3 linked regions of the Danio rerio genome follow. The protein of the gene in region 3 purifies or fractionates together with the protein of the main gene of each other region. This does not show direct contact. Links are inferred from orthologs where the notes say so. Each region holds a gene or a part of one and is shown on either strand. Other genes may lie near its edges.

Region 1 (3,663 bases), on a different chromosome or scaffold from region 3:
TTTTGTTTTTAGCGCATTCATTTATATATATATATATATATATATATATATATATATATATATATATATATATATATAAACTGTTCTTATTTATTTATTTATAAGTAAAAAGTTTGAAAGTAGGAATATACAATATGAAGGTTTTTGACTTATAAATGAATAAAATTATTTTAAAAGAAATTTCACAAATTATTTTAAAGAAATTTAACCAGAAGAAAAAAACAACTGTGAACATTATTATTGATATCATGTAATAATTAATAATACTATTATTACAAAAATACACATTACAAAGTTACTATATTTATATGTGAAATTTGGAATAAATATTATCAGATCTTTATCAATAAAACAAATATTAACTTTTACTTAAATAACTAATAAAAACTGAGAATTTTCAAATGATCTCTTCATTTTTTTCCAAATCTAAATATTCATGTATTACAGTTAGAGAAGAAAAAAAAGTACATTAAAACAACTGCAAAGCCCAAAAACAGACAATGATTTGTCATTATCGCAATAACTAGCAGCCAAATGTGATAAATGTGCCCTTTTTAACATTTTTTAAAGATATTATAATATACTTTATTACTATTATTATCTTTATAACAAATTAATTAAAACAATATTATCATTTAAAAATGATTTATATTATTCATATAAATATTGATTTAAATATAATAAAAATAATATTATAATATAATAACTGTGGTTCTGTATGTCATTCATTATTTTACACATTTTGAGGGAAACTGTCTTTTTAATTTGTGTAATGTGACCACACAGGACTATTGGTTCTTCACCTTAGTTTAGGGTACTCCTCATTAAAGTCTCGGCTCTTTCTGGTGGTCCATTCCCGCACATGCAGCATCTTGACCACAATCTCTGTGCCCTGCCAGCGGCCCTTCCACAGCTGCCAGAGAGCGATTGAGAAAGAGAGAAAGCAGAGGCATCAGTGTTTCCGTCATCAGCACTCTCAGACTTGGCCAGGATACTTATTAAAGTTTGCTTTGGTTTGGTAAATGAGCTCACCTCGCCGGAGTGGTTCTCGTTGATCTTGTTCAGCATGTTAAGCTGCTTATAATCTATGCCAGCTTGCTTGTTTAGTGTGCCATTACCTGCAGGAAAAAAAATAATGTTAAAAAAACATAGCAACAAACCTTAGTTAATAAGATAAGGCAATATACAACTGAAGACTAAATTATTAATTCTGTGAATTTTTCATTATTTTTCATTTTAGTTTTTTTCTTTTGGGAAAAAAGTCTTTTATTTTTTTCATTTTTGGCTGAAATTCAAAAAATAATATTCACAAATATAAAAAACTTTATGGTAAATATTGTAAGCCCCAAAATAATTAGTATTTTTTGATAGGCTACAGAATAAAGTGCTGTTTTACAATAACTTGCCTAATTAAACTAACTTGCCTTAACCTATTTAACACAGTTAAGTATCTGGCGAAACACTAGTATATATACAGTAAATACAAGTAAAATATTATGTACAGTCAGCAAAGTTACTAGAAAATAGCCATTAAAACTGTAAAAATATATCTTAGACCCTGCTTGTTAAACATCAATTGGGAAAGATAATTTATTTAACAGGAGGGCAAGCATTTATTTTTGTCTTTAACTGTATATGTGGCCATTCAACAAAACTAGTGCAAGAAAATAAATAAATAAAATAATAATAATTCAAAAACACTTACACTACAGTAAACAAACTGTAGATATTTACGAATACACAATAATATTTCATTTAGCATTAAGTTCAATATAAAATTATTTTTAATTAAATAATAAGTTTTTATAATTATTGTGTAATATATTGTGTACATGTGTATATATATAAAATATAAATAATTTTTTAAAAATTATTATTGGAAATTGACATCCATACATATATCTATACATTTTTATAAGTATTATTATTTGCATTTGTTGTTTTATAAAAAAAGTCTTTACAACAAGGTTAATTTTTTTTCATTTTATTATTTTTTATTAATACGAATAGAGTAATATTTAATAAAATAAAGCATTAGTAGTGTAATTTAGCCCTGACAAATTAAATATTGTGGTCACTTTTAAAACACTGCCATCATTTTTGAACTTGAATGGGATGTTACAAATTTGAAAATAATTTTGTTTCACAAAAAAAAATATGTGTGTGTGTGTGTGTGTGTGTATATATACACACACACACACACACACACACACACAAACACACGCACGCACGCACGCACGCACATATATATATATATATATATATATATATATATATATATATATATATATATATATATATATATAAACTGTGAGTTATCAACTTAGATGTTATGATATTTGTTTGCTCAATGTAAGTTTAGACTAATGAATCCTTACCTTTGAAAGCAGAATGATACAGTAGATGATAATAAACTGCTTGCATCTGCATTAAAAATGTAAACGAAACTCAGAGGTTTTGCTTACGTGGTCGTGTTCGAGTTGTTCCTTTCCAGAAATTGTCCTTGTAAGGGACTTTTGACAGGCTCTGTCCTTGTTTCTCTGCCAGGTCTGATTCATAAACATAACAGTGATAGATATAAGAGACAATGGAAAATATGTTAACAGAAACAGATCTCTGAGACTTCACAAGGTTAAAATAAAAACATCATACAAAAGCACCGCTGATGTCAAATTACTGCATTATTAAATAAAGAGAGAGTGCTTACCTTTTAGATTTGCTGCAAGCGGTGGTTTGGCCTTGTCCATTGGAGTTTCTCCATACTTGTTGCAGATGCTCACCTGAGCTCCATTACTGACCAGATCCTGGAGACGTGACCAAACAGTACAACCAACCAATGAGTACCAATGTTCAAGCATTTCTTTGATGATTCTGCTAATGTTAACCTTTATGAACTATATGTCAAGATTTGACTTCTGAAAATGAAATGGAGCTGAAAATGTTGTTTTACAAAACAGTCATTATTACAAGGTTATTTTAGTCTAATAAATAATAATATCTAAAAATATTTTTTGTTAACTGAAAGTAATTAACAATGGAAAAACAAAAAATTCACATAAAAAAACAAGTGAAAAAAAAAAAACTCAGCAAAAATATTTATGTCCTTTAGAATTAATAAGCAGTCATTCTGTGGCAGAAAATCTGAGCTGCTGTAATATATAGAAGTACCTCAAGATGGGGCTTTTATAGTTGAACGCATCAGTCAAGCACATGATTATATATACCTTCTTAATTATAAAAATCTTCCATGTATTTTTAATCCTTGACAAATGTAAACTAGGCATGTTTAACTACATATATTATCTCTAAAATCAAGATTTATCGTTTTATCTGCATTTAAGGTTTACGGTTCGGTGTCTTTTCAAACAAATCTTTCATTTAATACCAAGAGGTAATTTTTTTTTAAACTCTGTTAAACTAAAATGATTAAAACTAAAACTGAAACTAAATATATAAAAACTAAATAAAAAGTGTGTTTAAAGATACAAACTAAACTAAAACGAACCAAAAAACAAACATTAATGAAACAAACTAAAACTAAACAGTAATAATTGAAATAAAAAACGAATTAATAAATCATAATTATAAGAACCTTGCATAATTGATTTTTTTAATGACATGAAGTTGCTAAGCACATATTATTGGGGTATTAAAAATCTGCAT
Region 2 (3,663 bases), on a different chromosome or scaffold from region 3:
ATCTCAAGGTTTTCAGGGTGATTTCAAATAAATTCGTTTGAACTTTTAAAGGAATTCTAGATAGAATATTTAAAAAATGTACTGTTACCAATACTGATGACTACAATGATTACTAGAGAAATACTAGACCACTACTAAATACTAGAGTAATGACTACTGAAACCTTTGAACACTTTTCGAAAAATTGAATAAATGTAATAGTTACTTTAAATGCAAGTCATTTTTGCACAATAATATTGCACTTTTGTTTACATAAATGGAACTTTGCTGAAAATAAATTTCATGTCATAACAAAATCTTTAAAAATATCCTACTGATCACCAACTTCTGAACGGCAGTGTTAATTCTGCACTTTTAATGGTTTGGATTAATTTGCATATATATATATGATGTGAAGTTGTATTAATGGCAGCATTTCATAACTATCTGTTGAAATTCTTGTATTTTCGAAATGTAGGTATATAGTGTGTGTGTGTGTACCTCTTTCTGCAGCCTCCGCAGCTCCTCACTCAGGTTGTTGTTGACCTTCATGAGCTGCTGAACTTTAGCCTCAGAGGAAGCCAGTGCTTTCTTCACCTCCAGATACTCCTGTAGTGTGATTGGTCCATCTGACAGATCTGACGAGTCCATACTCTGAGACACACAACATAAATCACCAATTACTTCTCAATATAATGCCATAGCACAATAAACGCCAGCAGAGGGAACACTAATAAAAAGCTATTTATATAGTTTTAGAAGATACGTGCAATTATTGAATTTAATTTAAGAAAAAAAAAGGATTTTTATTTAGTAAAGGATGCAAAACACTTACAATATTAAATACAACTAGAGCTTTACATTAACAACCGCCAACCAGCCAAATGCGGGTAGATTTCAGCTCTGGTGGGTGAGACAGCCGCTTCCACTAGCCACTTTGGCTGGTTGGAAATAATTTTTACATTGTAGTTTTCTTAAAGCAGGATTCGACAATAAGGATGGCCCAATATGCAAGCAAATGTGGTCTTAGAATCGAGAAACAGCACGACTGACAAAAATAACTGTGTTAGCGTGAGCAAAAGCAGGTGAATACCTTATGAGAGGATGATCACTCGCGTGCACAGGTGATGTGATGCGTGCGACTGTCAAAAAGCATGAGCGCTCCTGTTTACTTGCGCATAACAACCGTGTGTAGAGCAAACGCAACTTGTGCGATCGGTTCTATATCTTTTTGAAAGCAGCAGTAGCAGTCACTGCTTTCGTTTTAATTATTTTTAGGCACGTGATCATCCTTTCATTATCACACACGGTATGTTTTTAACTGCTTTTTTTTACTTGCAGTTATTTTTGTTAGTTTAATTATCATCCTTTACAATAACATTGCTTTAATATGAGATTAACTCCCCATTTATGTGCAGTAAACTGCTGATCTGGGACCTTTAGCCAGGACAGATTATTGTGCATATTTTAGATACATGACAATAGATCTTTTTAAATGTCAAGTTTAAAAAAAAACGAAAGTTTTGTTGAATAAAAAGTACATGTATCCAGCTGTATTTTGCTTGTTTTGACGCATTTAAAATGTGTGGCTAAGAAATAATTATTTCTTTTCAGTGTGGTCAGAGATCATTTTGGTAAATCCTTAATTTTGAGCCCTAAAAAATTCATGTGAAACAAAAACTAATTACAATGCAACACAACCCATTTGCTCATGCACAGTGAGCAAGCTCATACACAATACACTCAAACAGTAAAATGAATGAGGAGGCATGTGGACAACACAACATCTAAATTAAGTCATTTTAGCATGTCAAAGTCACATTTATTCATATAAAATATATTTTCCAAACAACAAAAGTATGCTAAGTAAAGTGGCTAATAATGTTGGAAAACTACTAGCCACAGTGGCTGGTGATCAAAAAAGTTAATGCCAAGGCCTGCATACAACTATTTTTTTAAGTAAATGATTCTCTCATTTTACTTTAATTTCTAAAAAAAAAATCCTGAAGACCAGCCAGAATGCCATAATGTCTGCTGAAAATTACACTTCACAAAGCGTGAATCATCTCAGACTGGTTTCTTGACAATGAGTTCACTGTACTCAAATGGCCTCCACAGTTATAAAGGTAATTCAGTAGCAATACTCGAGAGCTTGCAAATGTAAATGTGAGCACTTGTGATAAGAATATTTGTATGTGTAGGTTGAAATGTACACTTACAGCTCTGATGTGAACAGCTGAAATCCTCGATTTGCACACACACACAACAATCCACACACTTGTGTTTTGAATCGGAAGTTGCAGATTAATAGTTGTGTATTTGTAAAATGTCATTCACAAATACAAAGTGACAGACACACGTGTGCACGGCAAATTTGACTGCATCTTTGCTCTACAACCACAGGTCGGCACTCACAACCTCTCAGATTCGTCAGTACAACTACAAATCTCCCGCGCTCTGACTTTTGCTACACATCTCCCGCGATCTCTGTAGCAGAACTCATCTGTGCACTCGCAGATGCAGAGGCGTGAGCAGCGCGGAGCGGGGGAGGGGCGGGGCTGGTGTAAAGCTGTTTCATTGGCTGAAGCCTGACCAATGAACAATGCCAGCAGCCAACAGGACTGAGGTGCAAAATAATCATTTCCCACGATTATTTTATTATTTAGGGTTTATTTCAACTATTTTCTGAAAAGATTTTTGTTAAATATCATTAATTCTACTGTAATGTACATACCAGTAAAAGAGCAGCAAAGCCAGTTTATTGGCTACAGCCAGCCAATGAGATGGGGCGTTTCTGTTTGTCAGCACACAGGGCAGCTACGTTGTTGGAGGCCTCGAGCAATCAGAGGGTAAGTTATGATTTTTAATAATTATCTATATGTTCAATACTGTTAGCTAAGCTAAGGACTGTGCTGGGTGCTTCTCTTGTGTGTTTTTTAAATAAGAAACAGTTATGAGTTATCTAGGAGCTGCTTTCAATCATGTTATATGGTTCTAAAGATACGATTCAACCCACATGAAATAAGAAGTTGTAATAGTATTTATAGCAAATAATAGTACGTTTTTGAACCATACTAACTATAGTAAACTGTATTATACTGTATATATTGCAGTATCTACAACTTTGTTAATGAATGCAACAGCACACTGTAGTATTAACTAGCATAAACTTTAATAAATTGAAGTATATTTACACACACACACACATTAATAGCAATTAAAAATAACACTAGGCGTTTCAGTTTCTTACAGATCATACCGGTTTTGGTTATTATAACCTGCATCATGTCTATCTATCCATCTATCTATTTACATGTTTGTGTACAGTGTGTCCTTTATATCACTTTTTTAATTATGAACGTTACTAACTATAGGTTATTTCTCAGTTTCCTGTAAGGATGGAGTGACAGGAGAGATCAGCATGTTTCAAGTCGATGAGGAACTCAGAGAAGCTGCATAGCTTGAATAGGATGTTATTTATGCTAAAGATGACATGATGATTCAGCTCATCTACAAACACTTCAAAATGATTCAAATCGTTCAAGAGGAAGCCGACTTAATTTTCTCTTTTTACCTGCCAAGATGACTACAGATTTGAACAAAACACACACTCACCCACACACACAACTTTTATTTTGATAATTGTTTAATGTAGTATTTTTACACTTTACTGTAAGGCAGGGG
Region 3 (2,998 bases):
CCAAAAACGTACCTGCTTGCCTTGCACATCTAATTAAATGGGCACAGTTTTTCGACTACTTTTTATTTTTTGCTGTGGATGTTATTGATCTGAAATCGGAAACAACACAGTTCTGCGACACAGATGAACCTTTATTGATATCTCTATCAGACAATACCTATTTTATATGCCAAAAGAAACAACAGGCAGTAAAAAAAATATCAACATAAATATCTTAGTGTAGGCATAGGCTATAGTCGCATGCTTTGGCAAACAGTTGAAAATTTTTTAATAAAAACATCATATCGTGCCTAAGCCTTGTAGGCTCAGTCACCCCCACAATTAGAAATTAAATTAGAAAAATAGATATGCCATCCCTCTTTGAGCGAACCTGACCAGGCTAAAGTGCATGTATGACAAGTGCTTCAATAACCATGGACTTAGGATCATCCCCATTCCCCTCAAACTTGAAGCATAACGAAATAGGCTACTACGCCATTAAATTTGCGACAAAGAAATTCTGGCAAAATAACCTTAGCCTCGGAACGTCAAAGCGAGGCCAACATGTCTAGAATAGAATAGGCTAAACCAATATGAACGTAAAATTATCAGCTGACCGAACTCAAAAGTTTATATTGAACATATGTGTAGCCTAAATAACATAGGCTAATTGGTTTAATATGCCTGACTTTAGGTCTAGTTTGATTTTTTCTTGGCACAATGCAGGAATAAAATAGCATCTGTGTCAGGATTCAGACGGGAGCGCCTGCATAGCCACTGCGCCCTGCTGCACTGAAGGAGCGCTCGCTCGCAGCACTTGTTGCTAAAATGCATAGAATTCTCTTGGAAAGGTGCTGTAGTCGGGGGAATGCCTGGCCTTATTTCTCCCAAAAGGAAAGTAGATTTTCCTCTGCTGATCCGTCTATACAGAAGTTTGTAGAGGAATACTTCTGTACACTTCATCCAGAATTAGTGTATCCGATTCCTCCTCCCATTCTGTGAAGTCAGTAGGCTTTTTCGTTGGTGCGCCAGCTATGAATATAAAAACAGTACAACCGCCCGCCACCCGCCCGAATTTAATTAAAATATTATTTTTTCGTAACGTCATCCGCCCGATCCGCGGTTTATCCGCGGAGTCCGCGGCTATAACCGCCAACCGCGCATCCCTAATGCGTACACTCACTGGCCACTTTATTAGGTACACTTACTAGTACTGGGTTGGACCCTTTTTTGCCTTTAGAACTGCCTTAATCCTTCGTGGCATAGGATTCAACAAGGTCTACCTGCCTAAATGCATTGAGTCGCTGCCATGTGATTGGCTGATTACAAATTTGCGCTAACAAGCAGTTAGGCAGGCGTACCTAATAAAGTGGCCGGTGAGTGAATCATTGTTGCATCTGCCCATGGGAAATTCCCACATACTCACCCTGCAGACAAAACACTCAGGATGCCAGAGAGAGTTGAGGGCAGAGATGTAGTTTTCCAGGATGGCACGAGCACAGCCGCCACATTTAGGGGCGAACATGTCAAAGTAATCCTTTCTACAGTACGCCTTTCCCTCCTTCTCATGAAAACCTGCCGGGAAAAAGAAGAACAAAGAGACAAATGGTTGCCAATGGCTGAAATCCTTTTAAAGGAATAAAGCAGAAAAAAAGGAAACAGCATCTGGAGAGAAGAGGCTGAGAAAGATGCTCTTACCCTCAGGCCCGAAGAATGACCCGCACTGGGCGCAGAAGAAATGCTCCGGGTGCCAAGTTTTGTCTAATGCGGTCACCACTTTCTGCAGGACCAAAGAAGAGAGGATGAAGAATTAAAATACGAGTAACATGAACAAAACACACAATTTAATATCAATAACAGAACACAAATTTAAGATAAAAACAAGATCGTAGTAATTATTGGAGTTAGTAGTAATTGAGTGATCGTTTACAGTAGTGATGTGTGCTGATGCATCAAAAAATGATGCATCTCGCAGTGAAGCAGTGTACCGGAGCTTGATTCATTTTGTCATAATCATGTGATCAGTGACGTCCGAAGCTTCATTTTCACCTATACACATGTGACTGCTACGAATTTTGACTCAAAGGCTTAAACACCCTCATGGGCTAGTAAAGTGTATAGCGAGAGATTAGGCATCGATTACATACATTTCTACTGTTACAAAGCACTGCACTGGTCCCACACACCAGTATTTCAGCAAAAATACTATAGTAATTTATAGTAAAAAGGTTTTGAAACATGCTAACGTGCATTATTTACAACTATTTTCAATGAAGGCTACTGCATATTGTAGTGTAGTGTGTAACAGACGCCAGCTGGTGAGTGCAGCAGAAAAGCCTCACTCTCATGGCGTCCTCAGAGCATTTGCCTCCCATGCAGTAATCGTCAGTTCGATCCCTGCTCGGAATGAGTGGGTTGGTGTAAAACCGGTTGAAATACAATGATTTTGAATCCTTTGGATTTTACTACAGTCATCGGTGGTGTAATTCAACATACCTTATATGTAAAATACTACAGTAATTGGGTGAATTGTTTATATTACTATTGTTGTATTACTGCATGATGAATGAGGTGCTTGGTGTGAACATTGCAACACAGTGCTTTGCCACACTTTAACCAGCAGAGGTCCTCATTAAACTCTGATTTGGAAAGCTTTGAGTAATGAATCTTTTTCCAATACAATTGAGTTGAACGGTTCACTGTTCAGAAAGCTTCATTTCACCATCACTACTGTATTTACAGTAAGGTTTTATCAGTTAAAGTGATGGTTAACCTAAAAAATGAATATTTAATCACTTTTAAAATCACCTATAAGTGGTGCCAAACAGGGCTGCCCGATATTGGAAAAATCGAACATTGCAATATATTTATTTTGCGATATATATATTGCGATGTGAATCTCAATGTCACCTGATGATTTAATATCTCTGTTTGGAAAGAATTTCTAATGTTAAATCAATTGGGATGACTCTGCAGTGGGAGTGCATCTCCATAAAATCTAATAAACAATCTATACGAC

The links.
Region 1: the proteins of pxna (region 3) and ilk purify together in Homo sapiens (affinity purification with mass spectrometry; 4 studies listed by BioGRID and IntAct, with this or other methods). This does not show direct contact. The link is inferred for Danio rerio from reciprocal best matches to the Homo sapiens genes PXN and ILK.
Region 2: the proteins of pxna (region 3) and git1 purify together in Homo sapiens (affinity purification with western blotting; 8 studies listed by BioGRID and IntAct, with this or other methods). This does not show direct contact. The link is inferred for Danio rerio from reciprocal best matches to the Homo sapiens genes PXN and GIT1.

What each region holds. Positions count from the first base shown.
Region 1 is NC_133185.1:29,715,365-29,719,027, forward strand, and holds part of ilk (integrin-linked protein kinase), read right to left. Parts: intron 2,805-3,663; coding exon 2,708-2,804; intron 2,550-2,707; coding exon 2,466-2,549; intron 1,119-2,465; coding exon 1,033-1,118; intron 914-1,032; coding exon 804-913; intron 1-803. UniProt on the Homo sapiens protein: Scaffold protein which mediates protein-protein interactions during a range of cellular events including focal adhesion assembly, cell adhesion and cell migration.
Region 2 is NC_133190.1:30,952,891-30,956,553, forward strand, and holds part of git1 (ARF GTPase-activating protein GIT1), read right to left. Parts: exon of another isoform or gene 3,558-3,663; intron 634-3,557; coding exon 481-633; exon of another isoform or gene 1-480. UniProt on the Homo sapiens protein: GTPase-activating protein for ADP ribosylation factor family members, including ARF1.
Region 3 is NC_133180.1:7,407,352-7,410,349, reverse strand, and holds part of pxna (paxillin a), read right to left. Parts: intron 1,760-2,998; coding exon 1,678-1,759; intron 1,555-1,677; coding exon 1,406-1,554; intron 1-1,405. UniProt on the Homo sapiens protein: Cytoskeletal protein involved in actin-membrane attachment at sites of cell adhesion to the extracellular matrix (focal adhesion). Recruits other proteins such as TRIM15 to focal adhesion.